4 linked regions of the Cricetulus griseus genome follow. Each later gene encodes a partner of the first gene's protein in a complex. Links are inferred from orthologs where the notes say so. Each region holds a gene or a part of one and is shown in the gene's direction. Other genes may lie near its edges. The genes, in order: Stx7, Bnip1, Vti1b and Stx5.

Evidence for each region.
Region 2: Stx7 (region 1) and Bnip1 share a complex: the UniProt entries of both Homo sapiens proteins name them as parts of the SNARE complex. The link is inferred for Cricetulus griseus from reciprocal best matches to the Homo sapiens genes STX7 and BNIP1.
Region 3: Stx7 (region 1) and Vti1b share a complex: the UniProt entries of both Homo sapiens proteins name them as parts of the SNARE complex. The link is inferred for Cricetulus griseus from reciprocal best matches to the Homo sapiens genes STX7 and VTI1B.
Region 4: Stx7 (region 1) and Stx5 share a complex: the UniProt entries of both Homo sapiens proteins name them as parts of the SNARE complex. The link is inferred for Cricetulus griseus from reciprocal best matches to the Homo sapiens genes STX7 and STX5.

What each region holds. Positions count from the first base shown.
Region 1 is NC_048595.1:243,390,301-243,397,912, forward strand, and holds part of Stx7 (syntaxin-7), read left to right. Parts: intron 1-1,512; coding exon 1,513-1,606; intron 1,607-2,268; coding exon 2,269-2,406; intron 2,407-3,129; coding exon 3,130-3,182; intron 3,183-3,787; coding exon 3,788-3,884; intron 3,885-5,090; coding exon 5,091-5,163; intron 5,164-5,930; coding exon 5,931-6,013; intron 6,014-7,612. UniProt on the Homo sapiens protein: May be involved in protein trafficking from the plasma membrane to the early endosome (EE) as well as in homotypic fusion of endocytic organelles. Mediates the endocytic trafficking from early endosomes to late endosomes and lysosomes.
Region 2 is NC_048600.1:47,010,461-47,018,072, reverse strand, and holds the end of Bnip1 (vesicle transport protein SEC20), read left to right. Parts: intron 1-493; coding exon of another isoform or gene 494-534; coding exon 535-626; intron 627-3,486; coding exon 3,487-3,588; intron 3,589-4,736; coding exon 4,737-4,855; intron 4,856-5,773; coding exon 5,774-5,970; 3' UTR 5,971-6,373; downstream 6,374-7,612. UniProt on the Homo sapiens protein: As part of a SNARE complex may be involved in endoplasmic reticulum membranes fusion and be required for the maintenance of endoplasmic reticulum organization. Also plays a role in apoptosis.
Region 3 is NC_048598.1:124,464,758-124,472,369, forward strand, and holds part of Vti1b (vesicle transport through interaction with t-SNAREs homolog 1B), read left to right. Parts: intron 1-3,513; coding exon 3,514-3,572; intron 3,573-4,837; coding exon 4,838-5,029; intron 5,030-7,366; coding exon 7,367-7,540; intron 7,541-7,612. UniProt on the Homo sapiens protein: V-SNARE that mediates vesicle transport pathways through interactions with t-SNAREs on the target membrane. These interactions are proposed to mediate aspects of the specificity of vesicle trafficking and to promote fusion of the lipid bilayers.
Region 4 is NC_048596.1:51,353,253-51,361,317, reverse strand, and holds the start of Stx5 (syntaxin-5), read left to right. Parts: upstream 1-2,939; 5' UTR 2,940-3,085; intron 3,086-3,252; exon of another isoform or gene 3,253-3,761; 5' UTR 3,762-3,783; coding exon 3,784-4,008; intron 4,009-4,351; coding exon 4,352-4,422; intron 4,423-4,583; coding exon 4,584-4,639; intron 4,640-4,857; coding exon 4,858-4,928; intron 4,929-8,065. Other genes in the region: Wdr74 (WD repeat-containing protein 74), read left to right, coding at 719-819, 900-955, 1,260-1,405, 1,535-1,591, 1,880-2,056; testis-expressed protein 54-like, read left to right, coding at 2,253-2,331, 2,462-2,673. UniProt on the Homo sapiens protein: Mediates endoplasmic reticulum to Golgi transport.

The sequences.
Region 1 (7,612 bases):
TCACACACAGAACCATTTCTAATTGCTCATAAGGGAAATTTCTCTTTTAGGGCCTTGATGATCTGCCCAATACTATTCAGAACCTTTTGAGTTCTCAGCACTTTAACTAGCTACAGATTACAAGTGATACACCCCCCCCCACACACACATATATATACACACACACAGAGACACAGACACACATATGCACACAGACTCACAAACACACACATGCACAAACACACATACACATATATATGTACACACAAACATACATGCACACACATAGCATTATCTCCATATAACAATTAGCTAGAATACAAGTACAAAGAAGATATGGAAAGATACAGAATATAAACTCATGTTTTTAAGAAGTTTGAAGTATTTGTAGTTGTCTGTAGTTCATATTTTTTCTCTACAATAAGTGTTGGGGTGAATCATAGCTAATACACAAACATTCATTGAAATTCAATTCAATGGAAGTTCATACTAAATAGACACATTAGTTTTGGGGCACGAACAGTGGAAATTTTGAATCCATAGACATGATCATGCATTTTGAGAACTTTGACTATCCTGTTCCAGAAACTTAGAGAAGCACGTCCAAGCAAGGGCATTTGGTGTCTAGAACTGTGAGCTGGTTATTTTTCTTCTTCACTAGCTCTATACAGGCATCTGCATCTGAGCATCTTTTTATTGTGAGCCTCACTGGCAGTTCATGTGTAACATAAGGGATGTACAAGGGAGGCCTTGGTGTCTTTTCTAAGCATCCCTTTAATGCAAGATTATATTGTTGAGTATCAAGGTTTTTCATTAAAATTCATACTCTTTTTATAAGATATCTAGGAAAATACAGGTATAGGTATAATTTAGTTCCCCCATTTTTTTTGTATTCAGGTCTATTTATAAGGAAGCTCTGTTAGATTTTCCACAGCAAGTTTAATAACTAGTAAATTTGTACTGTCACTACTTCTCCTCCATCTTTGTGTTTGTGGAACATAAGTATTCACATAAAGAAATAAGACATACAAGATGTACCTCACACCTGGGCACTGGACAAAAACAAATAGTCTTTCTTTCTCAGATGACGTCCTAGGGGAGACACAGATAAGAGCTATAGACATTTTCAGTCTCTCAAATATAAAGGACCAGACCGCCATCACTGTCCTGACTACATGCCCTTCTCACTGAAGTCATTTTCATCTGTAGCTATTGATCTATACTTATAGGTAATCACAATTCATGTTTCTCCAAGAGTGGTTATTTTAGGTAATGAAGACCCTTCTATGTCATAGTTCTTAGTATTTATCAGAAAAACAGAACCTAAAGATTTGGTTTGGCAGAAGAAATTGACCACATGTTCAGAAAACTGAGTACTTTCACTGTTTATAGTTTGTTACTATAAATACCCAGACAAAAAGACTAGTTCTTCTACAACCATTTACTAAGGTTGACACAAGTGGTGGAGTTTTTCTTTGACAATAATGTATTTGTGCCTTCTGTTTCTCTTTTTGTTTTTTCTTTTCACTTTAGGCAGCAGAAGCAGCAATATACTAACCAACTTGCGAAAGAAACAGATAAGTACATTAAAGAGTTTGGATCACTGCCCACCACCCCCAGTGAACAGGTACCAGGCTTTCCAATGCATGCTTTGATGTACTGAATGTAAAAGAAATTAAATGCATGGCCAGATCTTTGAGTGGCGATGCTACAAAGGAAGTTAGGCAACCAAAAACATTGAATTTGAGATTAGTTACCAGAACTCAGAACCATATTTAGTTGTTCAGGTAGTATCATGTGGTCGCACAAAGCAGAAATTATTTCCATGTAGTTGCCCTGACCCATAATTAAGTACGTGCTGAGAAAATGCCTCCTGGTGTAATTGCATCCTGGCTTTGCAGGGCTATTGCCCCCCCCACACACACCCACACCCACATGCACATACTCAAGATGTGCCTAGGGGCACAAGTTAGCTTCTTGCTTGCTTAGTGTATAGGTTTTATTTGCCTAAAAGGAGGATTACCTAAATTTCTCCTTAAGACCATGACCCACTTATCAGCCACTACTAAAGTCTAAGGTGAGAAATCCTGCACAGTGGGCCATTTGCCTCAAGATAAAAGCGCAAGGGTTCGAACCCATTATAAAGGTTCCTGAGAGTTCATCTGATGGTTTCTGTAACTGGGGACTGAGTGGCGATTTTAGAATTAAAGAAAGAGCCAAAGAATTGGAAGCAACTACTGCAGATGTGGTGAGCTTCTCAGTTTGAGTCAGTCTCTCCCTTTCCTCTAGCGTCAAAGAAAGATACAGAAGGACCGATTAGTGGCAGAATTCACAACATCACTGACAAACTTTCAGAAGACCCAGAGGCAAGCTGCTGAGAGAGAGAAAGAGTTTGTTGCTCGAGTGAGAGCCAGCTCCAGGGTATCGGTGAGTATTGTGAGTGGCATTGACATCGTCCTAATGTATAAAGTTGAGATCTGTGACACTCTTAAATCTGTGACCATTTAAGGGGATCTCACCCCAGGTTTTAAGAAAACTCATGTTGTGTATTGTTGTAGTTACTCCTTGTGGAGCAATAGCAAAGTACAGACTCCATAAAAACAGAAAAACCTGTCTTGTCAAAGGTTAAAGGTCAAGTCCAGGTGGCCTTTTCATTGCAAGTCGGTTTGAGGCTTGGTGCTTGGGTTTGTGCCAGGGTTTGGTGATGAACTCAGGGCATGTGCCAAGGGATTCGGAAAGTGAATATGAGCCTGGAAAGGATAAAGTAAACTTTTGTGTTAGTCTAGTTTTTAATTCTTACAGGATCCACCATTAGCTGATATTTCACTCACAATGACAGTAAAATTATATTTATTATTTGGTCCTTGTAATAGTGAATTCCATCCTCATCAGTTTAAGTTATTATTTTGTCACTACTTAAGCAGTTAGTTGACCTAGAAAATTAGAACAAGAACTTATCCTTTCCTGCTGCCATTGCAGCTGCACACACCCATATGTATGCATACACATACACACACACTCACACGCATGCACACACACATGAACACACACCCACCCAAAATACAGATCCACCATCTTAAGGGGACATTTGTGTGTTGTTTGCTTTTCCTTATTCTTGCTTTCTTTCTGTCTTTTAACTAAAATTTTCAGGGTGGTTTTCCTGAAGACAGCTTGAAAGAAAAGAATCTTGTGTCCTGGGAAAGGTAAGAATAAAAAGAAACAGTTTGTAAATCAAAAGATAATTTTTCAAGTTTCATCTATTATACTTCATGAAGCAGAACTCATGAAAGCTTGTGTTATATTATTGCATAAACAGCTTATTATTTGTAGAGAAATAATAAATTTGGGAAAATTAAGTATTTATAAACTATTTTAAATGCAATATGTAAATAGATCACCCAAATAAACTTATTTATTTAATTTTAAGAATAAAATATTTATATGTGAAATTGGCAAGTATAATTTTTAATACTTAAGTGAACTTGAATCTATATATGATGAAATCATGAGTATAATGAAAATGAGATAAAGTTTGGATAAAATAAATATTTATACTTAGAAGTTTTTATTTGTTTATTGAGGTTTTTTGGAGGCAAGATCTCACTGTTTTGTCCAGGCTAGCCGGGGATTCACCGTGTAGCCAAGACTAACTAATTCCAGATCTTTCTGCCTCAGCTGGGATTACAGGCATGTACCACTATGCCTAACCTATTTTAGCACTTTTTAAAATGAGCAATATTCTGGTCTTGAGGATCAAAATGTCCCATGTAGTGGATAAGACATCTTCCTTCTGTATTTATTTTTATAGCCAAACACAGCCTCAAGTGCAGGTCCAAGATGAAGAAATTACAGAAGATGACCTACGCCTTATTCATGAGAGAGAGTCTTCAATCAGGCAGCTGGAAGTAAGCCTTACAGGCATGCCCCACTGCTGCCCTGTTCTTTGAGCATGTTCACAGAACTGGATAATGCCGGGGAAGAAAACTCTAAGAACATCTGTCAGTTTGGTGAAATTTCTAGTTGTAGAATTTGGAATAATTCCTGTGTAAGCAATGATGCTGTTGGTGGTAGGGGGAGAGGTCGTATTCCATCCACAGTGTTAAATCATCCACAGTTCTTTCAGTGTTGAGAAAACACCATTCTAGAAATACTCATCTGTCCAGGGAGTCTGGGGAACTGACATCCTTCAGCCCGAACACACCATCCCGCCATGAGTAAGACTTTTACAACAGCATTAAAAGAACTGTGCTGCTTTTTTTGGGTGTCTCTTGTATTACAGAGATGAAGGATTTCTTAAGTTGTAGTTCTTGTGGAACCAATCTGGCCCCTAAAAAGTGGGCTAATAATAGTTACCAGTAGCTACAGTTCACTCAAGGTCTTCCATGTGCCAAAGCACTGGGATAACTATTAATTTTCTCATTCTGTCTTCTTAAAAGCTACTTACACTTGCTAACTATGACACTTTACAGATAGGGAAACTAAAGCCACGATAGGTGTGCAAACTTCCTTACACAGTTAAATGAAGTCTTTAATCGGTGAAAAAGAAATAGGTATATAATTAAGAAAAGTAAAGCTGTAATTTCTTTTGCCAATAAATTTATAATTTGTTTACCCACTAATGACATTTAAAATTTCACTATAGTCTGTTGGGTATTCAAATTTGTTAATGTAGGGTTTTACACTTATACATAATGTCTTATTCATTGAAATTGTCAAACTGATGACAAACTGGTGAATTTTTTATTGAAATATAATAATATCCATATTCTTTAAGAAAATATATCCTGTGACAAGAAAACAGGTTGGCCTTAGTGCCCCATGGCCTTGCTCCATTATCAGTCCCCAATTTCCATCTTGTTCACTTAATAAAGCAACTGTCACAGGTTTACTCTCGACAACGAGTAGCCATCTGGGAGCTCTTTTGTTAGGATTGCTTATAGTAGTATATTTTTCCAATGTTCTCCAAAATTATATATTACTTCTAATTGCATGCTTATATATGTATGAGTGGGGATAAATGTGTTCCTTTCTTTTTCTTTTGAATTTCCTCATTTGTGGGAGTGGGGAACTGAATTTCTAATAATGTATAATGTGTGCTTTTTTGGTCCTAGGCTGATATTTTGGACATTAATGAAATCTTTAAAGACTTGGGAATGATGATTCATGAGCAAGGAGATGTGATTGGTAAGTCCTGCTGGTGTGTTCTGGGCAGTAGGAGCAAGTTTCCTGCAGTTTACCTGCAGCAGCTCTTTCAAGCAAGAAACCACTTCCTTTCTGTTTCATTGGGATCCTCTGAAATCAAAGGCATAGCGTCTACAGTTTGCTGTGAAGGCCTGTGGGTCCTGGGTGGGGACTACACTTCACGGCAGTTAGGTTAATGAAAACAGAATACAATTATCAAATTCTTACTGTGAAGTTGTCCACTGTCCCATGCAAAGTAGGTAAAGCACTGTGTTTATGTGAATCATTTGAAGTGTGTTGTATTTAACAGAATCAAATACAAAGCCGAGGAACACTAAGAACTAACAGGGTAGTTTGAGTAAATAAACGTACAAAGGACTGGATGTGTTTGGACCCCTCCTTGGTCCTGAGGAGAGTGTTCTTTGAGAAGTGTTCTTTGAGGTAGACTTTTTCTATGTGATGTCGAATGTCTTTGGGCCTAGGGAGAAGAGGGTTGATGTGTTTTGCACATTGGTCTTGAGGCAGTGCAAGCTCTGGGGTTAGAAACTGACAGGAGCTTGTGCTGACACTGATCTGACATTTGCAAATTGACAGCACTTTTGTTGTGTCCAGTAGATGTAGATATGATTAAGGCCATTTGCTTATGCATTTGTATATTATCTGGATTGCGTGTTTTCCTTACATGTCTGCTGAATGAATTTTGGTGGTTTATAATTGGCTCATCAGTTCATGTTTAACAATTCTATGTGTATGTGCATTTTATTTTAAAGACAGCATAGAAGCCAATGTAGAAAGTGCAGAGGTACACGTTCAACAGGCGAACCAGCAGCTGTCAAGAGCAGCAGATTATCAGGTAACATTAACTGTAATCCGTTTTCTTTTAACTTAGAGTTTTGACTTGAAGTGGTTGCATAGGCTGACTTTAGAATTCTGTGGGAGGGGAGGATCAGAAGCATGCCAGTCAATTTAAAATTGGTTTGGGCATGTGTATTCTCATATTAATCTACAGAGATAGGAAATCATGAAGCTTGCAAGAGACTACTACTCCACACTTTTCCTGTTGTGGGAAGCAAGCATCACAGAAGGCAGGAAAACCATCCAGGTGAGGTACAAATAAAACTTGGGTCAGCACAGCTTAGCCGGTGCTGGATCAAAAACTTCTGGAGTCTGATATTCCAGAAGTTTTCACGTACTTAAACACAGTAAAACTTTGGAAAAAAAATTTCCATGTGGGAATTATTACACCAAAGCTTCAGGCATGGCTACATCAAAGTACATCTCTTTAGCAAAGCACCTGTGACCTTCACACAAGAATGAGTTCTATTGACTGGGAAGCAGTGCTCAGGAGTCTGGGCATAGGGAGGAAGGGTTTTTTTTTCTTTTCATTATTATTATTATTATTATTATTATTATTATTATTATTATTATTAATTCAAGTTAGGGAACAGGCTTGTTTCACATGTACTTCCCCTCTCCCTCTCCCTCCCCTCACCCCCATTCCTTCTACCCCACCTCCAACCTACCCCCTCCACCCCATCCACCCGCCACTCCCCAGGCAGGGTAGGGCCCCCAACCGGGGCTCCACCAAATCCACCAAATCTTCCTGTGCTGGGCCTAGGCCCCTCCCCATGTGTCCAGAGACAGAGCGCATCCCTTCAAGTGGGATGGGCTCTCGAAGTCCCCCCCACCCACCAGGGCAAAACGCCAGTCCACCTCCAGAGGCTCCCAGGAGTGCAGGGGCCTCCCCATTGGCATCCATGATCAGGGGGCTGGATCAGTCCCGTACTGGCCTCCCAAAGAGCGTCTGGGGTTGAGGGAGGAAGGGTTTGTGATACACATAAAGATGGGTTCTATTGACTGACAGACGTTGCTCAGAATTCTGGATGATTCGATGAGGGCCGGCTTTGCAGAATAGCAAAGATGACCAACTATTGACATATCCATTCCCATCTTTCCGGAGGGAAAACAGTGTCAGTTTCTTCCATCGAAGGAAAAAAAATATGTGAATTTAACAATTGAGGTTTTTCTAGTGCTGTCTGTAAACTGTGCTCCCTCTGTCCCATGGTGGTCTCTGGTGGGACAGTGATAGCCCGACATACGGAGAGACCTGTTTGGTAGCCTTTCGAAAGCCCTCGTTTCCCATCCTCCCCTTTTTCTTTTTCTTTTTCTTTTTGATTTTTTTTGTTTGTTTTTATTTTTGAGACTGTTTCTTTATGTAGCCCTGGCTATCCTGGAACTTGCTCTGTAGACCTGCAAATACTTCTCCGACCTCCACACTTGTACCATGACACATGTAACCCTACCAATCAATCAATCAGTTTACCAATCAATCTGCTTCTCTCTCTCTTTTTTTTTTTTAAGATTTTTTTATTCATGTGTACAGTATTCTGTCTGCATGTATGCCTCCAGGCCAGAAGAGGGCACCAGATCTCATTACGGATGGTTGTGAGCC
Region 2 (7,612 bases), on another chromosome or scaffold:
TCTGCTGGTGAGTGGACATCCCCAGACTGGAAGCTTCTGCTGGGCCTGGGTTTGTGATGCTTTCAGTTCAGCTTCAGTGTCAGGTGGCCTTAGGCCTTAGTGTTATGTTCACAAACAAGTTCAAACCTTCAAAGCTCTGTTGGAGTAGGTGCAGAAATGGGCAACATTTGGAAACATGTATCAGTGTGGTATGCTTCTGATATTGCGTTGGGATTAGTGGGCTTTTGTTTTGGTGTGCCCCCCCACCTTTATTTCAGACAGTGTCAAGGCTGTAGGAATGGCAACCCCTCTTCCAGCCAGAACAGCCATTCTAGAGCTGCCCACTCCAGCACCCTGTTTCTAAATCACCTTTGGGCTGCCAAGATTTTCTTCTCTTTCTTGTAAATTTGCCTATATCTTTAAATGGATATTTGGTTGTTTTGGACATGCTCCCTCTCACTCCCAAGTATCTGTGGTAAAAGATGCTTCAGTTGCTTTTGTGTGTCCCTTCTAGAAACAGAAGCACTCTGGCTAACAGCTCTTTTCCCCTCCAAGGAGCTGGAACAGTCAGCAAGGGAGCAAGACAAGGAGTCGGATAAGCAGCTTCTACTTCAGGAAGTGGAGAACCACAAAAAGCAGATGCTCAGGTAGGCAGAGTAGCTTATGGCCACCTCTGCTGGCTTGCCGGCTAATCGTGAGGCTTGCACATGTATTTGTCTAATAAGCCTAGCTTAATGGTGATGTAGTGGTGTTATTAACACACACAGGCCGGAAGTTCTCTAGATTAGTAAGTCTCAAATGGAGGGGGTAAGAGGGACAAGTAGAGTCTGCATAGACATTTGGAGCTATGTGTGTTTATAGTGCTCACAGTGTTTATATGTTTACAGAATTAACCTTCTGCTGTACTGTGTATATTCATGTATCTTAAAATTTTGTAAGTGTGGGAGCTGTGTGTGGAGTCGGTCCTTTCCTGACATTTGGGGAGACCTAGGGATGAAACTCCACTCATCAGGCCTGCACACAAGCACCTCTACTCTCTGAGCCATCTCAATGGCCCTGGTTCTGTTGTTTATTTTTAAGACAGGGTCTTTTGTCTTCCAAGTTGGCCTCAAACTCAACATGTAGCTGAGGATGACCTTGGATTTCTGTTCCTCCTGCTTCTGCTTCCCAGGTGCTGGGGTTACAGGCGTGTGCCGCCACCGCATGTTTATGTGGTGCTGAGAAATCAAAGCAAGGGTTTTGTGCATGCTAGGCAAGCACCACACCAATGTAGCTACACCCTCACATCCACTTTTTATATAGTTGAAAACAAAAATACAATTACTTTTCAGGGCTAGAGAGATGGCTCAGCAGTTTCAAATGTGTACTGCTCTTCTAGAGGACCTGAGTTCAGTGCCTAGCACCCATCCATGTTAGATGGCTTACAACTGCCTGTAACTCTTAACTCCAGTGGGATCTGATCACACACACACACACACACACACACACACACACACACACACACACACACACACACACACAGGATTAAAATAATAAAAATTAAACTTTTAAGAACATGATTACTTTTGTAATACAGGGTAAATTTTATTCAAGAATAATTAGTATGAGGAAAGCTCATTGAAAGTGAGCCTGCTTACCCAAGATGGACCATAGTTTAGCTTTCAGTGTGGCATCATCTGAATGAATGATGCACAGAATGTAAGTTTATGTTAGAATTGAGATTTTGGTGACATTGCAGTTGTGTGCTAGTCTTTGATTATAAAGCAGTATGTGCCATTTCTTAGTCTCTAAACCAGGGAATATAACTTTTTTTCTGGCAACATGAATCACTGTTTCTCCCTTCAGGTTGTACTTTTGTCCTATAGTCCAAAAGGGTCATTACAAACACACCTTTCCCAGCCTCATGATGTTCAAGGCCATTTCAGTAGTATCTGCTATGTCAGAATTCCCATACATTTTCCTTGTCACAACTGTTTGTGGTTTCATTTCTGAGTTGAGTTATTCTCCAGCTGCAGGCTTACTAACAGCAGCTGTGTGAATAACACTCAGCTGTTAAGAGTGACTGACAAAGACATGGGAGTGAGTAGTGCAAGTGTGCCTGGCTCATTGGCCATGGCTTTTTGTGCCACCAGAGGTTCTCAGATTGTAAGCATGAACTCACAGGGAGTTTGTGTGTGTGTGTGGTGTGGTAAATTGCACCAAACACTGTCAGTTTAGTGTGGGCTTAAAACAAAACATTTTTCCTGTTTTCCTATTCCTGGTGTGGTTTTAAAGGTCTGAGGAAAGAAAACAGGAAATTCATGTTGAAGCAGCAGATATGTTTATCAGGTTACCAGGTTTGCCAAGCTGTATAGTATTTGCTTACTTTCCTCCCTAATAAATGTGAGCTCCTTGAAGACCAGGAGCTCAGCTCTGCAACCCTGAGCCTTGCAGAACACTGTTGTGTACAGTTTGAAGATGTTAACTGTTTGAAATGGCAGGTGTGGAATGGGCTGGGAGGTGCTGTTCAGCATCTGAGAGCCCAGCTGAAGAGTGCCTTTAATCCTAGCACTTGGGAAACAGAGGCAGGAGGATCTCTGAGTTCAAGGCCAAGCCTGGTCTACACAGTGGAGTTCCAGGACAGCCAGGGCTACACAGAGAAGCCCTGTCTTAAGAAAGAAAAGAAAAAGAAAAAAAAAAAGGTGGAAGGAGAAAGTCAGCTCCACAAAATTGTCCTCTGACCTCCACACATGTGTTGCGGAATGCTCCCCCACCCCAATCATAGACACATACTTTTTTTTTTTTTAATTTAAAGAAATTTACCCTATTAGTTAAGCACTCTGTTCTAGTATTTTGTGTGTCTGGAGCTTAGCTCAGTTGATTTGAGCTGCTGTGTGAGAGTTCCAAAGCATGGATTTGATTGTCAGAGGGATATGGTTGGCTTTTCTTGTTTGTCAGTGAAAAATGGATTGCTGATCTCGTGTTGCTTATACTTGAGACATCATTTACAAAGGAGCAGGTGAAGAATGTGAATAAATCACACCAGTCAGGGTGCCCTGTGATATTTGTAGTGTCTGTGACTGGTGTCAAATAGACAAAAATAGCAAGCCTTGGAGGAATGTTGAGGAATGTTGGCTTTTGGGATTTTAACCACTCTAACAGCCACTGCAAGAGGTATAAGTGATGGTTCCAGTACTAGGTATGGAGGAGGAATGCTAGGTCATGGTTCTCAAAGACACTTGTCAGGCAATAAAGCCATTGTGGGTCTGTGTCTAGTAGAGTGCCATTTCCCTGGTCTCCCAACTGCCTAGCAGAAGAGGGATAGTGACAGACCATTCTGGAAACATTTTCCAGAGGTTCAAAGGAGAGATATTAGAACCTATGCTAAAGTAGTTACCAGGGCTACCAAGAAGAGGAAGTGGAGAGGGATGAGGTTGAACTCTGAGTCATACCTGGGAGAGTGGACTGGTTAGGCCAAGCAACCTGGTGGTGACACCAGAACCTCATGTGTGACCCTTCTTCTTCCAGCAACCAGACCTCATGGCGGAAAGCCAATCTTACCTGCAAAATTGCCATTGACAACCTGGAAAAAGCAGAACTTATGCAGGGAGGAGACCTCTTAAGGCAAAGGTATCTTCCTTTTGTCCCTTTGGGCTCTGATAACACATCTAAGCGCCATGTGAGGTGGCCTTTTGTTTTCATAACATTTGTACTTTATGTTAATGCATAAGTATTTTTTTTTTCTTTTTTTGCGACTGGGTGTCATACATCCCCATCTGGTTCAAACTTGCTGTGTAGCTGAGGATAGCCTTGAACTTCAGATCTCACAGGTGTGCATCTCCACACCAAGTTTATGCGGTTCTGGAGACCTACCCAAGGGCTTCGTGCATACTAGGCAAGCACTCTATCAACCAATCATCCCCAACCCAGACTAAATTTGACTAAAATTGGTTTTTGATTTTGGGATTTTGTTTGCTCGATTTTTTTTTGTTGTTGTTGTTTTTGTTTTGTTTTTTGTAGTAGTAGGAGTTGAATCTGGGGTCTCATGCATGAAGGGCAAATGCTCCACCACTGAGCTAACTCCCAGTCCTCCCTGACAATTTTTAAGACTCTTCTTTTAACTGTGCATGCATAATATCTATGTTATTAACCAGTCCTGTTGGTGTGTTGGCATTTCTGCCTTTTCAGTATCGTATGCTGCATCAATGCAGGTTTTCATCCAGTTCCTTCAATAAGTTCTCTGGGAGTGAATGAACATTTCTAATCTCTTTGTACTTAGTGCAAATTGGTTTACAGACAGCAGCATGGTTTCCATTCCTCCCAGCAGGGCTTGAGAACGTGGGCTCAGCATACATCCTTAGCCACACTGATGGTTTAGGAATGTGCAAGCTGGCAGTAATAGCCCATGCCTTTAATCCCAGCATTTGGGAGGCAGAGGCAGGTGGATCCTTGTGAGCAAGTCCAGCCTGGTCTACAGGGCCAGTTCCAGGACATCCAGGGCTACATAGTGAGACCCTATCTTGAAAAAAAAAAGAAGAAGAAGAAGAAGAAGAAAGGAATATATGCTAGCTGGCTATGTGGTACATACCTGTAATCCTAGCACTCACTGGTGGGGGGTGGACTGAGACGAGGACATTCTGCCCTCTTGGCCAGGCTGAGCTACATTGTGAGACCCCCATCTCAAAGCACAAACAGAAAGAGCACTGATGTGATAGGTTAAGATGGTGCTTTTTACAAGCTAGGATTTGTAGTTATTGCTCCTTCCTCTGAACTTTCAGGAAAACTACCAAAGAGAGTTTGGCACAGACATCTAGCACCATCACAGAGAGCCTCATGGGGATCAGCAGGATGATGTCACAGCAGGTGCAGCAGAGTGAAGAGGCTATGCAGACTCTAGGTAAGGAGAGAAGCTGCTCCAGAGCGCACACCCAAACTGTGCCTCAGGACATGGCAAGGCAGTTTGGTCCTTTGGGGGGGGGGGGACAGGATGGTGGGTAGATGCTGCTCTTTGTCTCCTCCAGCTATGCAGCTGTGCTGACATGCCTCCTGCCATCAGTGCTCCCCTGAGGAAGCATTGCTAGGCTCATGTGAAAAGCAGGAATGGCAGTCTCTCTGGAGATGGGGTCTGTCATCGATGCTTGCAAGGGGTTCAGGAGTCTGGTTTTTAAGCATTGGCTTGTGGGCTTAGTATTGCCAGACAGGTTTGGGAATTAGGACCACTGACAAGACCATTACTGTGAGTTCCTTTAAATGTCCTAGCCAGAGGTCACAGAGGAGGCTGTTTGAGACTGCCATATTCTTGCCAAATGCCTTCCCACCATGGCTCCTTTGTAGAGAATTTGTTCCTCTAGGGCCCTTCAGTTGTAGGAAACAGAAAAGGAGTTTGTTCTTTGTAAGATTTCACATGTCAACCAAAGTAGACGGCGAGGTTTGGTAAATTCTTGAACTTCCCACCTTGCTTTCATGGCTGTCACAGCCACCTTGATTCATTTCTACCCTTACTTCATCCTCTATCTACTCTATACATTATCCATGAAAACAGTTCAACACGTCTAAAGCAAATGACAAGGGGGTTGGAGAGGTGGCTCAGTGGTTAAAAGCAAGTACTGCTCCTGGAGAGGACCCAAGTTCAGTACCTAGCATGCTAACTTTCATGTGCCTAGACCCACACAGATATGCACATAACTAACAATAATAAAAATAAATCTCACCTGCCTGGCTCAAGCACTGGCCTTGTTGAAAGTCAGATGGCCAGCATCCTCTTCGTTGCTGAGGTGGCACAGTCTGAATCAGGCTCCTTCCTCTTCTGTTGCAGTCAGCTCTTCACGGACTCTCCTGGATGCAAATGAAGAGTTTAAGTCCATGTCAGGGACCATCCAGCTGGGCCGGAAGCTCATCACAAAATACAACCGCCGGGAACTGACAGACAAACTTCTCATCTTCCTTGCCCTGGCCCTGTTCCTTGCTACAGTCCTTTATATTGTGAAGAAGCGCCTTTTTCCATTTTTGTGAGAGCTGCCAGCTGTGGCCCTTTGCACTCCCGATTCAGGACTGGGCTCTCAAGGACTGGCTGGGCCGCCAAACTGGACTGCTCCTCCCCTCAGGTTTTCTCTTGTTGCTCAGTGCAGCCAGTGGAGGGAAACACAGCAGCCCAGTTTCCTGCAAGAAGCTGCTTGGAAAGGGCAGTGGAATAGAGGAAAACGAAGCCTTCAGGACAGAGGCACTCCACGTTCACTCAGCTAGCAAGTGCTGTGGCTGCCACAGGGAATATTTCAACTCTGGGGTTTGATGCACCTCCTCCCTCCATGTCCTGAGGCATAAATGCTAGATCTGGTGGAGAAAAGAAGAGCCTGTGGGAGGGAAGGTGATGACAGTTCGTGGCTGTTCCCTGAATAAACCTCATTTATTTAATGGAGTGATAAATGCTTAGTTTTACAGGATATCCCACTGGGAATGTCCATGCTTCATCGTGTCCTAACTCCTAGGACGTGAGCTTAAATTATTCATTCAACAAGAAATTACTGATGTCAGAAAGAACACTTGCTGCTCTTTCAGAAGACCAAGGTTCATTCCCCAGTACCCACTTGGGGCCTCCCAACCACCTCTAATTCCAATTCCAAGCAGGCACATAGTGTTCTTATACACATACATACAAACACTCATATGAATTCTTTCTTTTTAATTTATTGCGGGCCAATGAGATAGTTCAGCTGGTAGAGGCACTTGCCAATAACTCTGATGATCTGAGTTCCATCCACAGGCCCCACAGGTGGAAGGAGAAAACCAACTCCAGGAAGTTGTGCAGCTGTGGCATGTATGTGTCCGTCCCTGCATATACACAAATAAATAAGAAAATTAGGTGTGGAACAGCTGCCACAGGCTGATTCCTAGACATTGCCAGACATTACACACGTACTTGTAATGCTTACACACTCCTCCAGCAGCAACAGAAGTGAGATGTCTGCATGAGGAACTGCAAATAGCCGCCATTGGAACTGCCCACACCAGCATCTGAAAGTGCTGAGACAGCTTTTTCTCCCACCAGCCTGGCAGAGTCTGGGGCATCGTGGTGACTGAGGAGCTTGCTGGCTCCCTTCTCTCTGAGGTCCAGACTGAATTGAGAAGCCAGTGCTACTGATGCCCAACTGTGCCTCAGTTCTCTCCATGCCAGGTCCAGGCTCCCAGCTAGACTAGCCCTGGAGGTGCCAGTGTCCCCCATGCTGTCAGCTTGGCTGGTCTTGTACTTGAAGTTTTTCTTGCACCTCTCACAGCCCTGGAGGACCTGAGAGGCAGAGAGTAAGTGAGCATAGGCTGGAACTGGCACTCAAACGTGCAAACCACATTGTCCGGAGCAAATTGCCATATGTTGCTGTGACAGCTTCTCCACCCACACAGTGGATGTGGTAGTCCTCATAGGGGCAGGTTTGAAAGAAAGGGAAATGCAGAGTAGCGGATGGGGCTCATTACTGAGCCTTCATCCAGCTTCACAAATGCTGGGAACTCTGAACCCTGAGGGGTCCTACAGCAGCTGCACAAGGCCTTCCCTGCTGCCAGGGAAAGAGTTCTGTTTAGATCTGTTTGAGCAGCAGATACCAAGAGTTAAAACTTCTACTGTGAAGGGACAGATCATCTTGGGACCAAGTATGTGGCATTG
Region 3 (7,612 bases), on another chromosome or scaffold:
TCTCTGTATTTAACTGAACTCTTGACTTTTTAAAAAAAAAATTATTTATTAGTTCTAGTTAGGGAACAAGCTTGTTTCACATGTAAGTCCCTTCTCCCTCTCCCTGCCCTCACCCCATCCTTCCTTCCCCACCCCAAGCCTACCCCCCACCCCATCCACCCACCACTCCCCAGGCAGGGTAGGGCCCTCAACGGGGGCTCTGCAAAGTCCACCAAATCTTCCTGTGCTGGTCCTGGGCCCTTCCCCATGTGTCCAGGGCCAGAGTGTAACCCTTCACGTGGGATGGGCTCTCAAAGTCCCTTCTTGCACCAGGGAAAAATACTAATCCATCACCAGAGGCTCCCTGGAGTGCAGAGGCCTCCTTATTGACATCCATGTTCAGGGGTCTGGATTAGTCTTGTACTGGCCTCCAGGACAGCATCTGGGGTCGATGTGCTCTCCCTTGTTCAGGCCAATTTGAACTCTTGACTTTAATGGCCTTAGGCTCTGGATCTGAATTCATCCTTGGGAATCAGGTGATTTAGTAAATCTCTAACATTCCTGTTCTTGGTGTAATTAGGAGGGCACAATGGAATTCCTGATTCCATAGTGGTGGCAATTTTTTTTCAAAGAGTTGATTTTGTTTAGAGAGGCTACCATTGTACACATTTATATCCTTCACAAAATTTCCCAAAAGGAAAGCCATTAGTAGTGAGAATGATTAAAAATAAAAGGTGCTGGAGAAGTGTGGTCTGCAATGTTTAAATACTGGAACTTTGTTAAGCAGCAGTGGTCACTATGCTGTCCACACCACTTAGGGAAAATGCTTAGCTGTCCAGGTTCTAGTTTCTAGAATTGTAAAGTGAAGTTGATAATCTCTGAGATCCATCCTAGCTGTAATGTAAACTAAAGCACAAAAAGACAGCACAAAAAGCCTCAAAGTTGACATGGTGGGGGTGTTATGTCTTCTGGCTTCACAAGATTGATTCCTGACTCCCTTGCTATGAGGCACAGCTCCCATAGCAATGCAGCTGGACATAGAGCTTGGGAAGAACATAGACTGGCACTTTGAAAATACCTCTGACCACAGCAGCCTTCATGTTCCAAACTTAATGGCTCATCCTTGAACACACACTTGTCGAAGTTCATACAGTGAATTGCCTGTGCATGATTGTGGCCCTTTTTGTTGTGACTTGTTACTTTTTTGGTTATCTTGGAGCCAAGGCTGGGAAGAGCTTCTTCTAGCTTCTTCCCCAGGAAGGAATGGTTTCTTAGGCCTCCCCTTTGCTCTAAATCTCAGACTTCATAAAGGAGCAGAAACATGAAGCTCAATTTTGAAAGGTAATGCATTTCCTAGAAGTATAGTATATAAGCTGTAGAGCACTCACAATAGGACACTTGGGTTTTATACAATCAGACAGAATTACAGCTCCAGAGTGAAAATACCATGACGTAGAAACATTGCTGAAAGCATATCCCTTCATCCAACTGCTACCTCTCCCCACCACTTTCACTTTCTTGAGTTGTTCTAGAATTTGCTTCTTGAGTGTAAATTTTCAAATCCTTTAACAAAGGCAGAATAAAGAATAACACAGTTCTAGAAAGATCCAAGCTAGGGAAGGTATCCAGGCGTGTATACAATACTGCTGCCATGTGCTTTCTAGCTTGGGTCACGAAGAGGGTGTGCTTGAGTTTGGAGATAGGCTCTGTCATAGGAGTAGTGACACATGATTACAAAAGAGTACATTGTTGCTGTGTAAGTGGCCATTCTTAACCACAAGTCTTACTTTTTTCATTATTGGTGGCTCAGAGCACAGGCCCTCAGGAATAGTAACATGCTCTGGTGTCCATCTCAGTTACATCGAATATAGTCAAGATGTGTGCACCATTTGCCAGGGCTAAACCATTCCTTGTTTTTATTGTTGTTAATTAATGGATCCTTGGGTTTTGTTTGGGGGTTTTGTTCTGTCCTGGCAGTGCCTTGTGTTAAGGGAGTATCAAACAACAGTGGGTGGTCATAGTAGATAGTGAGTTGGGTGGTGGTGGCAAGAGGATCAAAAGTTGAGGGTCATGCTTGGCTACAAAGCAAGTGGTAAGTTTTGAATTATAGAAGACCCTGTCTCAAAAGAGAAAAAAAAAAAGAGATCAAAAACTGCAATGATAACTTTGTAGTAAGTAGATTATGTGTATGTTTCCTCAGGTATCTCATTCAGTTGAATGTTTTGTTGTGTTGTGTTTTTGTAGCTCTGGAACTCACAGTGTAGACTAGGTTGGCCTCAAACTCAAAAGGTCCACTAGCCTCTGCATGGTCTTAAAGGTGTGAGCCACCGTACCCAGTGAATGCATACATTTTTAAAAATTCAAATTCTTCACAAATAAAGCTGAGTGCTGCTTGTTATATAAGAAGGGATGATCTGCTTCCTTGTTTTATAGCCATAGAAATGAAGAAAATTGCCATACTTTCCTGTTAAGGGAGGTCCGATACTGGTTCCAGAACCTAATCCCCTTGACTAACCAGTGCTCTCCCCCCTACAAAGGTTTACCAGGCGACAGCATTTCAAGTACATTAGTCATTTTTACTATGCCAGATGCCGCTTTTACTGTTATTTAGACATTCTTCCTGTATCAGTGTACTCATGTAAAATATGTGTCTAATACAGTTAGCTTTAAAGGAAATGTATGTTTTAAGTGGAAAATCTTCACATTACAGATGATCAGAAGAAACATAGTAAAGGTGAAGTACTATTAATTTAGCTGGGTTTTTTTTTGTTTTTTTTTTTTTTTTTTACTTTGACACTGAAGCTTTTTCTCTTATTGCTAAAATGGAAGATCAGTAATTTCTGTTGAAGACAAAACCAGCCAGGAATAGTTGAACTTACCCATAACTTTGGCATTTGGGAGACTAAGCTAGGAGGATTGCAAAATTGAAGGCAGCCTGGCCAACTTAGGGAGAGCCTAATTTAAACAAACAACAAGCAAGCAAGTGCAGCACTTAAGGGGACATGCAAAGGGCTGAGAAAAGAATGACCATCCCATGGTCAAGTCTTTATCCAAGCCACCATAGGTGAGGGAGATATATCACACTAGTGAGCAGAGCAGGTGAATTTTGAGTTTGTTTTGCAGAATAGTGGTGGTTATACATTCACTTTGGAAACCCAGTATTGGCAGATATTCATATTGTTGAGAGAGTGCCTGCCCTCTGTGAGGATGGGCAGGGGAAAAGTTAAAAATGATTGTTAATTTAAACCTGTAATAGGGATGCTGTTGGCTTTAGAACCAAATAATTGTTATGTTAGACTTTGTCCTCAGCAGGAACAGTTCCCTGGGTACTAAATGCCAATGCAGTGGGTACCCAGGGGCACAGTGAGAGCAAGTCTCCAAATGTTTCTAAGCCTTTGCAGGGGCGGGGTGGGGGAGTTAAGTATTACCATCCCACCCAGAAAACAATGGTAAGCTTATTCTAAGCACAGGGAATGACCTCTGCAGATGCACAGAAGCAGTGATAAATGTTTGAAATGCACCTGTCTTTTCTAGAAGAGAAGAAGAAGCTGGTCAGAGATTTTGATGAAAAACAACAGGAAGCAAATGAAACGGTGAGGACAGGGAGCAAGTCCTTGTTTCTTGTACTTGGTTTTGGTCTTTTCTAGAAATTCTATGACTTCGTAACAGGTAACCTTTTCCTGTCTACTAATCTTGATTTTGACTGTTTGCAACTCTTAGGTTCTCTTTCATTATTGTATAAAATACTTTGGCAAAAGTGTCTTAAGGGAGAAAGGGTTTGTTCTGGCTCACGTTTCAAGGGTACAGTCCATTGTAGTAGACAAGTCAAGGTAGGAGGAACTTGAATCAGCTGGTCACGTCACAGTGATGGTGATGCATGCTGCTGCTCAGTTCCCTTTCTCCACTCAGTCCAGGATGCTCTGTAGGGAATGGTGCTACCCACAGTGGGCAGTCCTTTGCATCCTTGAGTATGCAATCAAAATCATCCCCTAGAGGCTACCCTAGATAACAGGTGTGACCAGAAATGTGTCTTCTAGGTGATTCTAGATCCTGCCAAGTTAGCACAACTCACCATCACACTTATTAAATGAGGCTGACTGACGGGAATGGGTGTTGAGGAGGCTTACAAACACAAATAGGTCAACTTTTGATGATTACTGAAGTACTAGCCTCTCCTGACATGAGTAGTAGAGGCATTCCCATCCCTTTCCTGAAGCTGGCCACAGAGGTCAGTTACTGACCTTTGTTGAACTTAGCACAGATGTCTGTTTCATGGAGAGTGTGTATGCGTGTGTGTGCAAGTGTGCACGCGCGTGCGCACTTATTTGCAGTGTTAGGTATAGAGCCTAGGTCCTTGCACATGCTTGGGATTGGTAGATAGGCACTCTCCCACTGGGACATTCATGACATATTGATGTTTGTGGAAGAAGTACACATGTGGAAGAGGATCACATTCATGTGACCTCATTCTTCAGGTTCCACCCACCTTGCTGTTTGTTTTCTTCATTCTTTTTTGAAACAGGTTCTCTCACTAGCCTGGAACTTGCCAAGTAGACTCTCCTGGCCAGCCAGCACTGGTATTCTAAGTACACTGCCATGGCCAGTTTTACTTACATAGATTCTGGAAATTGAATTTAGGTCCTCATATTTGCAAAGCAAGTACTTTACTGTCTCTCCAACCCCATAACGTACTTCCTTGAGTGTCTACTAGAAACTATTTCAGGCACTTAAAGTGAATGTGGTGTTTGTGTGCCACAAAAATATAGTTGCTATTTTGGGTAGCCTGTGGTAAAGTTTAAGCATATGCCCAGGTTAGGGAAAAACCAGGCTGTCTACTTATCCCTTTCTGCCATCCTAGCTAGCAGAGATGGAGGAAGAACTACGGTATGCACCCCTGACTTTCCGTAACCCCATGATGTCTAAGCTTCGAAACTACCGGAAGGACCTTGCTAAACTCCACCGAGAGGTGAGAAGTACACCTTTGACAGCCACACCTGGAGGCCGAGGAGATGTGAAGTATGGTGCATATGCCTTAGAGAACGAACATTTGGTAAGTGGTAAGCATTTGGTAAGAATGAACAGTGGTAGTGACATCCCCCACAAGGGCCTGTGGTACACGAACTAGATGGGTGACGGCTACATCGGTGTATACTGGAGTCTTGGTTTTTTATTTTCCTGCACTTGACCTCTTTCCTGCATCCAGTCCCACTCTCCCGCTCTTTTTAATGCGGGTCTGCCTAGATTTTTGTGTGCATACATATATAGAACAGGACTTGTTTCTAGCAAACCTAGAAACTCTTCCTAGTCAGACTCCATCTTGACCTATTGATCTAATTCCTGAACTTATATAAAGTTTAGAATCATTTTCTCAGATATATTCCCAAAATCCAGTTAGGTTTTAAGTTTTCATTTGTTTTTGAGATTGATTTTATGTGTACAATATTCTGTCTGCATGTATCCTTGCAGGCCACAAGAGGGCACCAAATCTCATTACATATGGTTGTGAGCCATCATGTAGTTTCTGGGAATTGAACTCAGGACCTCTGGAAGACCAGCTAGTGTTCTTAACTATTGAACCATCTCTCTAGCCAGAGATAGGATGATTACTTGAGCTAATACAAAACCCTATCTCAACCTTCTGACGTTTTGTTTTGTGTGTGTGTGTGTGTGTTTTTTTCAAGATTAATATAAGCTTTGTTAGCTTAATATCAAGATGGCTCTGAAACTGATAGAGAAAAAACACAGGGTGCTTCCCAGGAGGACTATTCTGACACTCTAGTCTCGTAAAGTCATCTAAAATGCTACTAACATAAAGGATTGAGACATAAAATTGGACTTCAAGAACCCATATCTTGAACCACTTAGAGAATGGGCTTAACCTCTGAGCCATCTGTCCAGCCCCCTGCTTTGTTTATTACATTCTTTATTTTGTATGCGTGCACAAGCACATCTTGTGCTGTTTGCCACTGTTCTGTAATAAGCTCTGTGAGCTGAGCCCTTCTTGGTTGTGTGTGCTTCCAATAGGTCAGAACTTAGTACTGCACCTATCCCTGTCTGTACTTACTAATGCTGGCCTGACCTAGGCTGCTTTGTGGTCATGCTGTGTTTAGGATTGTAGATGGAGGAAAAGTTCAGTGAGGACTCTTAAAAATTTAGAGCTCCTACGAGTTAGGGCAGCTAAGAAGCTTGTGGCCCAGATTCTACCTTCCCTGTGAACAAATCACCAGTGTGATCATGTCAGAGTGCTGTTTGGCATGAGGGGAAGTTCCCCAACATAAGCTTTTTGTTTAATATAAGAATGTGGCAATGTCTCTGCCAAGAAAGAATGCTTTATATGGTCCCTAAGCCCTTAGTACCAGCCAAGCCCATCTTCAGCGAACTAATCATTTCCAGAGTTGTAGAGGCTAGTTTACTTGTGGCACTATTGAAGTTAAAGGGTAGCCAGGCATAATGACATGAACTTGGAGGTCGAGCTGAGAGGGTCATGAGTTTGAGGCCAGCTTGAATTACAGTAAGACTGTCTCAAAATATATACATATATATATTTAAGCAAATAGTTTTAAAGTTGCAGGCTGTTTGCATTATCAGGTGATTTTTGTATCCTGTTGCCCAGTTTGGGTGCTGACTGAAGTTGCTAGTAACGAACCAGTCCATGTTTATGATAGATTTCAACTTGTCCACAGGGAAAATGCTCCAGTGGTATTTCATTTGTTTTTTAAATCTCTTCTGTGTCACAGAAGTATAACAGGCAGTGGGATGTGCCTCTGTAGTCTGTGACCTTGAACAGGATCTTATAATTCATTAGTATCTTTGATTCTATTTTAAAAGCACAGCTGACCAGCTCTTTGTGCCTGCTGCAGCTGGATATTGAGCCTTGGATTAAATTAAAAATATTGATTCTACCAGCCTGGTCTACATAGTGAGTTCCAGGTCAGCCAGGACTGCACAGTGAGACCCTGTCTCAAAAAAATTCTAGTTGAGCGCGCCAGTGCCGTTTTCTAGCATCCATGGCACCCTGGTACACACATACAGATCTTTGAAAACTCTCTTATATGCCGGACATCTGACTTTTATCTGGCCATGATTCTCTTGAGCCAAAAATAACTTTACATAGCATTTACCTTTTATTAGGCATAATTAATCTAAAGATGATTTAATGTATTGGGAGGATGTCTATGTTAATATGCAAATACTATACTATTTTACATATGGGACTTCAAAAAGATTGGCCTAGAACCAGTATCTTGCAGGTATAAAGGAAAAACCATAATGAAATGATTGCTCACTATATTGCTTTTGCACAAGAAGGTGGTCATAAAGAATATATTGACAATAAATTTATAATGGAATAAACAAGTTTCACATGTCCCTTCCCTACTCCTGTCAGAATCGGCTACAGTCTCAAAGAGCATTGCTCCTACAAGGCACGGAAAGCCTGAACCGGGCCACCCAAAGCATTGAGCGTTCTCATCGGATTGCCACAGAAACTGACCAGATTGGTACAGAAATCATAGAAGAGTTGGGGGAGCAGCGAGACCAGTTGGAACGTACCAAGAATAGAGTAAGTCTGGGCAATGTGTGAAGTATGTGGGTCCTCCATATAAAGGCCAGATACTACAGGAGGCCTGAATTT
Region 4 (8,065 bases), on another chromosome or scaffold:
GTAATAGCCCACTCCTCCCCTGGGGTAAGGCTAAGCTTTCCTGCTTGAAATTCACCACCCTCTAGCTTTGGTCCAATCTGCTTTTCTATTCCTCCACTACCTTTAGATGGACATATGAGGGACAAAATGTTTACATACTCTCAAGGATAGACATCTGCCCTCAGTCTGTAATCATGCTTTTAAGCAGTCCTTCCCCCAGCATTCTGAGATGAGGTACATACTGCAAATGAGAAAAGTTTCTCTGAGGGGGGCTTATAAATAGTAAGCAGTCTTGCCAAGCATCCCTTTAATCCCAGCACTTAGGAGGCAGATGAAGGTGGATCTCTGTGAGTTCCAGGCTAGCCTGGTCTACAGAGCAAGTTCCAGGACAGCCAGACCTTTGCAAAGAAACCCTATCTTGAAAGAAAAAAAATTAAATAAATAATAAGCAGTCTTCAGAAGGATGATGATAGATATGGAGATACTGGAGACCAGTGTGGGTAAAGATATTCTCATGAGCCAGGCAGTGGTGGCACACGCCTTCTATCCCAGCACTTGGGAGGAAGAGGCAGGCAGATCTCAGTGAGTTCAAGGCCAGTCTGTTCTACAAAGCAAGTTCCAGGACTCCAGGAGATAGCCAGAGCTTCATACAGAAACCCTGTCTCAAAAACAAAAACAAAAAAACAAAAAGAAAAGAAAAGAAAAAAGAAACTCTTGTGATACCTCAATCTTACTCTAGGTCCGTGTCTATGATCCAGTCTCTCCCCAGCGACGGCCAGTCCTAGAGGCCACCTATGGAGAGTACCCATTGACAGCCATGACCCTTACTCCTGAGGGCAAGTGAGTGTTGAGGGGAGGGGGAATTGCTCTGGAATGACTCCAGAAGTTGTACTGAGCCCCTTCTCTGGTCTCTTCCATAGTTCTGTCATTGTGGGAAACACTCATGGGCAACTAGCAGAAATTGATTTTCGGCAAGGTGAGTGGACAATGGGTTACTTGAGAAGGGGAAGGGAGAGAGAGAAAGGTAGTATAGGGAGTCACTGAGTCCTGGCAGTGCCACATTCATGCCCTGGGTTAAAGTTTGGTCTCAACAAAAAACTGAGACCTTGGACTAGTTACTTGGACCCTGTGCCTTTGCTTTCTCATCTATAAAACTGGAATATCTCTGGTAACTCCTGTTTCTAGGGGGATTAGGTATGGAAACATAAGTGGTTTGAACGGTAACTAAGTAAATGTTCACTGGCTAGGTAGCTAACACTGTTCCCTCCACCCTTCTCTAGGACGTCTACTGGGCTGTCTGAAGGGGCTGGCAGGCAGTGTCCGTGGCCTGCAGTGCCACCCTTCCAAGCCCCTATTAGCCTCTTGTGGCTTGGACAGAGTCTTGAGGATACACAGGATCCGAAGTCCACGTGGGCTAGAGCATAAGGTGAGAGCCCATCCCTCTGGCATTCCCCCACTCTAACATCTTTTTCTGGAGACTTTCCCCCCTCCCTGTGCCCCACATTCAAGTTTCTGTCTCTGCTCATCTGGGCTCAAGACCCCTTTTATTTTACAGGTTTATCTCAAATCTCAACTGAACTGCCTCCTCCTGTCAGGCAGGGATAACTGGGAGGTGAGCAACTAGTTAGGTGTAGGGATTTGGGAGCCAGAGGCATGATGGGGAGGGATTCTCTGTGGAGAGAATGGGAGGCAGCTAGAACATAGACCAGGGCTGTCTCTCTACTGTAACCTAATTTCCCTGAGGGATGCTCTACCCTGTATAGCCTTATTGCTGAGGGTGAGGGACTCCAGAACACAACTGCACTGGTTTCTAGGTCAAAGTAGTGGTGTCCAGAGAAATTATTTTTCTGCCAATCTCTTTCCTTGTCCCTGATTCCTGAGTTTCTTTCTCACTCATCAGGATGAGCCCCAAGAACCTCAAGAGCCCAACATGGTACCCCCAGAAGACACAGAGACAGATGAACTTTGGGCATCTTTGGAGGCAAATGCCAAGCGGAAGCTCCCTGATTTAAATCAGATACAAGGGACTCTCCAAACAAGAAAAAAAAAGAAGCGGCCTGGATCCTCCAGTCCTTGAAGACTTTTGCTATTTTGTTAATAAACAGCCCAACACACACAGAGACCCTGAACCTTTTGTGATGGGAGAAAGGAGAGGTGGCTTGTGGGTGGGAGGGGTTCCCTCACCCGGGCTGTGGGAGACCTGACGTCACAAAAGCTGGGTCCAGAGCTAAGCAGGCTGGGGAGGGTGGCAGAGTCCTGCGCCTCTCGGGGCCATGGGCTGCTGTCAAGACAAGGACCATCAGACCTCTGATGAGCATGCAAGGGAGGAAGTGACCGACGAAGGTAGGCAAGGTAGGCCCAGATTCAAAAAAGGGTCAGGGAGCTGGATTGGGAATGGGAGTGGGAGGTGCCCAGAATGGACGGCCTAAAGAGACTGGACTAGAGAGGAGAACTGAACTAAGTGGCCTCGTGGCCCTTGCAGACAACGAAGTCAATTTGGACAACGCAGGCCGCCGCAAACAAAGATCTAACGAAAGTCTTCTGATCACCGTGCTGTGGCGCAGGCTATCCATGTTCAGCCGTCGGGGGTCCTCACGGTCAAGCAAGAGGCTCTCAGACCTGACTCAAAAGCAGGAGAGTCAGATCCAGGAGCGCAAACGTGAGGGAAGCCACAAGGAACCAGAAAAGGGCTGACTCCAATCCTGCTCTCGTCCTCCCCAACATCCAGAGAATAAAATTAATATTGTGGATCTGCCGAAAACATGCCTCTGCCTCCACATCTGTAGGCGCCGAGGCGCTGGCTCTTTAAGACTCCTCTGGCCCAGCCCTCTGGGATCTGTTTCTGCTCTTCAGGGGCGGGGCCACAGCGGCAGTTTAACCAATAGGAGAGCGGAGTCGAGCATGCAAGGGCAGAGGTGTGTTCTTCCTGTCTCTGGGCTTAAAAAAATAGGCGTGGCGCGGCATCACGTCACGGGGGTGGGGTTACGTGTGGGTGACGTGGCGGCTCCTGCTCTTTGCTCCGATTTGGGTGGCTTACAAGTCCAGCGAGGAGGCGGCGACGGCCTGGAGAGAGTGGCAGTGGCGGCGGCGGTAGGCAACAGAGGAGGTAGGGCTTCGTTGGGGTAGGGGGCCAGTTTCTGTCGGTCGTCTCAGCTCGGGGGCAGCGGCTTGACGGTGGGGGAGGGGGGAGAAGGGAGCCATGGGCAAGCCCTGCTGGCGGCTCCGCGTAAGCGAATACCTTGCTGTCCAATCAGGAAAGGCCTTGTTGAGAAAGACGCCGGCCCTGTCCAATCAGTGGCTGCAGTCTTCCAACAGGCGGAACTTTGATGGAGGTGGGACTTCCTGTTTCAAATAAACACTTAAAGAGGTTTTCCCCCCCTCCGCCCACCGAAGTGTGTCCACCTTTGGAGGTCGGTTGCCGTTTTTCCGTGAGGGAGTTAAGGAAGTCACGTATACCAGAGGGCACGATTAAGATCTGGGCCAACTGCAAAGGTCTGGCTGGAGGCTCAGGGCCGCAGGACCAGGCTTTGGCTGTTTTCTCGACTTTAGGGCCCCAGCCGGTGCTTTGGCCGTCAGAGCCAAGTTGGAAGGAGATTCTGAGGAGGCTTCGCCTTGGGCCTGGAGGAAGCTGACCCTTCTCGCCGTGGCCGGGCTGCAAGATCTACGGGTGGCCTTGGGCTCGAAAGCCTGTCAAATACGGGAAAGGGCCTGAGGATTTGCTAGTTGAGGGGAAAGCTTTGGGGAACGAGGCTGTCTGGAGAATGACATTCTCCTCTCCACAGCAGTCCGAGGTTATGCGACTCGATGATCCCGCGGAAACGCTACGGATCTAAGAACACAGATCAGGGTGTCTACCTGGGTCTCTCAAAGACACAGGTTCTGTCCCCTGCAACTGCTGTCAGTAGCAGCAGCGACATCACTCCTTTGCCCACCCCGGTGGCCCTGGTCCCTTCCCCTCCCGACACCATGTCCTGCCGGGATCGGACCCAGGAGTTCCTGTCTGCCTGTAAGTCGCTGCAGAGCCGTCAGGTAAGGACCTGGAGTGGAAAGGCAGGTGTGAGCCTAATTAATGCTTACGTTTTGTCTGCTAGTTGTCTAAATTTACTTTACAACAAAGATTAGCGAATCTTACCAATAGGAGTGGAGGAATTGTCTTCAGCAGGGATTAAGAAAAGATTAAATACCACGAACGATGAGTCAAGATTTAAACCTACATATAATTTTTTTTTCTTAGCTATAAACCACTGATAAATTTAGATTGTCTGATGCCAACAGCACTGGAGTGTTTAGTGGATATGTGAGGGAGCAGTGAAAAGCTGAGCATGAATAGTGAAGAGAACTAAAGTATCCACTTTTTGACATTACCTTTCAGAATGGAATCCAAACAAATAAACCAGCTCTACGGGCTGCCAGACAACGCAGTGAATTTACCCTTATGGCCAAGTGAGTTAAGAGAGTCTTTGGGGGGGGGTGGTAATACAATGTCTAGGAAGTTAATTTGCCTGTGTTGGTTAGGCTGAATGGGATTGGTTGTGTTGGAGCTTATGGGAATTAGCCTCTTTCCTGCCCTTTACCACAGCCTTCTCACTGATGATCATTTGCAGGCGCATTGGAAAAGATCTCAGCAATACATTTGCCAAGCTGGAGAAGCTAACAATCTGTGAGTGTTTGGTAGATCTTTCCTAGATGGGACAGTGAAACATAGTACTAGGAAGTGAGGATCGTGCAGTTTTTGTTTTATTTTCTCCTATGGTGCTGGGGATTTTAAACTAGGACTTTGTGCATTAAAGCAAGTGCCTCTACCACTGAACTGTATTCTTAGCCCTTTGAGCCTTGTTATTACCATCACCTGTTGTAACACTTCATCTGTCTCTGCAGTGGCAAAGCGCAAGTCCCTCTTTGATGATAAAGCAGTAGAAATTGAGGAGCTAACATACATCATCAAACAGGTGAGCTGCTAGCCATCAGGAGAGCCCAGCATTCTAATTAGATTACTTCCATCATTTTCCATCGCCATGAATCCCCAGGGTAAGTATCTAGACCCATGTCCAAACACCCTGCTCCTCCACTGAGTCCATAGACACTTAGGATCATCTAGCATTTGTAAAGTACTGTTCTGTATGCTGATGGAACAAATGAGAAGCAAGATTATTGTCTTTAAGGGTTCATTCTTCTTAAGAGTTACCCAGCATCAGGAGCCTAGGCTTAAAATGAGTAAGTGATAGTATAGAAAAGATTTTACAAAAAGATGAATGAAATAGTATGCTGGGAAAGATTGACAGAGGATATGAAATCTGAACTGGATTCGGAGGTTATATAGAGGAAATAGAAGGACTTACCAGTCTGAGGAGTTTATTTACAGAGGTGTTGATTAGAAAAGGGGGAAGGTCAGCTGAGAGTAGTGATGAACACCTTTAATCCCAGCACTCTGGAGGCAAAGGCAGGCAGATCTCTGAGTTCTAGGCCAGCCTGGTCCACAGAGTGAGCTCCAGGACAGCCAGAGTTGTAAGTTTATTCTCTATAATTACCTTACGTTTGTTTGATTTCATTCCCTGTATCCTTTCTACTTTTCTAAAAGAGAAGGAAAAAACAAAGGGGCAGGGCAAAAGATTTGCAGATACCTCAGGAGCAGGTTCTTTGTTTTGGTTTCAAGACTCTAGATATATAGCCCAGTCTGGTATTTTTGTTTAAGTCAGGGTTTCTCTGTATATCCCTGGCTGTTCTGGAACTTGCTGTATAGACTAGGTTAGTCTTGAACTTAGAGATCCGCCTGTCTCTTGTCTTCTGAGTACTGCAATTAAAGGCATATGCTACCATTCCTGGCTACATGGTGGTGGTTAATTTGTGATTTTCCTGCCTCAACCTCCCAAGCACAGGGATTATATGATGTATCATTATGCCTGCCCAGGATTTTTCTTTCCTCTTGTTCACAGGTGTATTACAAGTGTTTATAATAGTGACTGGCCTGATTGTTGGTTGCCCAAATGAATGACTGGCAAGATGTTGGTTGTTGACTGAGTGGCTAGTTGTAAAGAGCATTGTGGACCTTGATAACAAGTGTAGAATCATGTGTCTGGGTAATATGTCGAGTCTGATCTGGAACATGGATTGGGTGGGATAGAAGTTAAGGAGCCACTGGTATGGCTGTATAGTACAAATATGGTGGCAGAGGTCAAAGAACAGATCCACTGGGGCTGGAGAGATGGCTCAGAGGTTAAGAGCATTGGCTGTTCTTCCAGAGGTCTTGAGTTCAATTCCCAGCAACCACAAGGTGATTTACAACCATCTATATTGAGATCTGGTGCCCAGGAATACATGAAGGCAAAAGGCTGTATACATAATAAATAAAGAACTCTTCCACTGGATTCTGAAAAACTTGAAGTTGCTTTGTCACCCACTTAAGTTGTAACTTTGTGTGAGCTTCTAACTTCTGAGTTGCCATTGTCTTAACACTAAGGCAGAGATAGTAAAAGTACCGGCCCCACAGATCTTGTGAGATCATTTGTTTGCTTTTGGGGGATGGGGGGCCAGTTTCAAGACCGGGTTTCTCTGTGTAGCCCTGGCTATCCTGGAACTCCCTCTGTAGACCAGGCTGGCCTTGAACTCATAGAGATCTGCCTGCCTGTGCTTCCTGAGTGCTGGGATTAAAGGTGTGCTCCCCACCAACTGTCTGTTTGCTTTTGTCAGTCATATACACTGGGTTTTCAAGGCTGAGACTACCTTGGGTTGGTTGATCCAAGCTGGTTTGGCTGAAGAGGTGATACTTGAGCAATGTCTGGATAGTGAAGAAAAGCAGTCCATTTGGTGATCTGGTGGGAGTGCATTCCAGAAAGTGGGAATGTAATGTGGAAAATGAGCATGGAAAAAGGAAAGATCTCACTGTGGGTAGCGTCCAACAGTGAGACAAGCAGAGGGCTGAGAGAACTAGGCAGTGCAAACAGCAGGCCTGTGTAAAGCAGCTCAGGCATTTAGGTTGTGTTCTAAATTGAGTGATAAGCTCTTAGGACATTGTCAAGCAAAGGGATGACAATACCCTGAATTTGGTTTTGAAGATCACATTGGCCACTATTAATGCAGTAGGTAATAGGAAGGCAGACCAGAAAGAAGGCACATTTAAGAGGCTCTTGGAGGTTTTTGAGTAGAGAAGATGGTTAGGGTATATGAGGTAGAAATGGAGATAATGTGGATAGATTTAGAATATACTGGGAAACAAAACAAAGTTTGTATTGGAATCAGTTGGGTTCTATGTGGGCTACTAATGGTTCCAGGTGGATTAGAGGAAAAGGGGGATAGAGGTATTTTTTTATTTTGTTCATTTTTTTTTTTTTTTTTTTTTTGGAGACAGTGTCTTACTATGTAGACCAGGCTGACCTTGAAATCATAGAACTGCCTGCTTCTGCCTCCCAAGTATTGGGATTAAAGGAATGGACTGTTAGTATTCAGGGTTCTGCTGGCCTGCCCATTGTGTCCTGACAGGACACACCCTCAGCTGCTGCCACTAAGAGAACCACCTATGCCTATTCACTATGTTCCCTTTTAAAAGGGCTCTGACCACCTCCCACCCCCCCAAACACACACCCCTGCCCCTCTGCCTCTCTTTCCTCTCCTGCTGCTTCTGTCCCCGCAGGCCAGTCTCCTCCCTCCTCCTTCCCCTTTCCCTTTTTATGATCCCTTTCCCTAATAAAAATCCTCTCTGCTTGAATCCTGTTGCATGGCGTCTTTCTCTCTTGTGCTGCTTTTCTTTTTTTTTTTTTAAGTCTTTTTTTTTTTAAGATTTTATTTATTATGTATACAGTCTTTTGCCTGCATGCAGATCTCATTCAAGGCGGTTGTAAGCCACCATGTCGTTGCTGGGAATTGAACTCAGGACCTCTGGAAGACGAGTCAGTTCTCTTAACCGCTGAGCTATCTCTCCAGTCCTTGTCCTGCTTAAATTACAACATGTACTACCAGCCTTAAAAAAAAATTTAAAAAAATGTATATGAGTGTTTTGTGTACATGTATCTGTTTGTACTACAGGTATGCTTGATACCTGTGGAGGCTAAAGAGGGCATTGGATGCCCCAGAACTGCAGTTGCAGATGGTT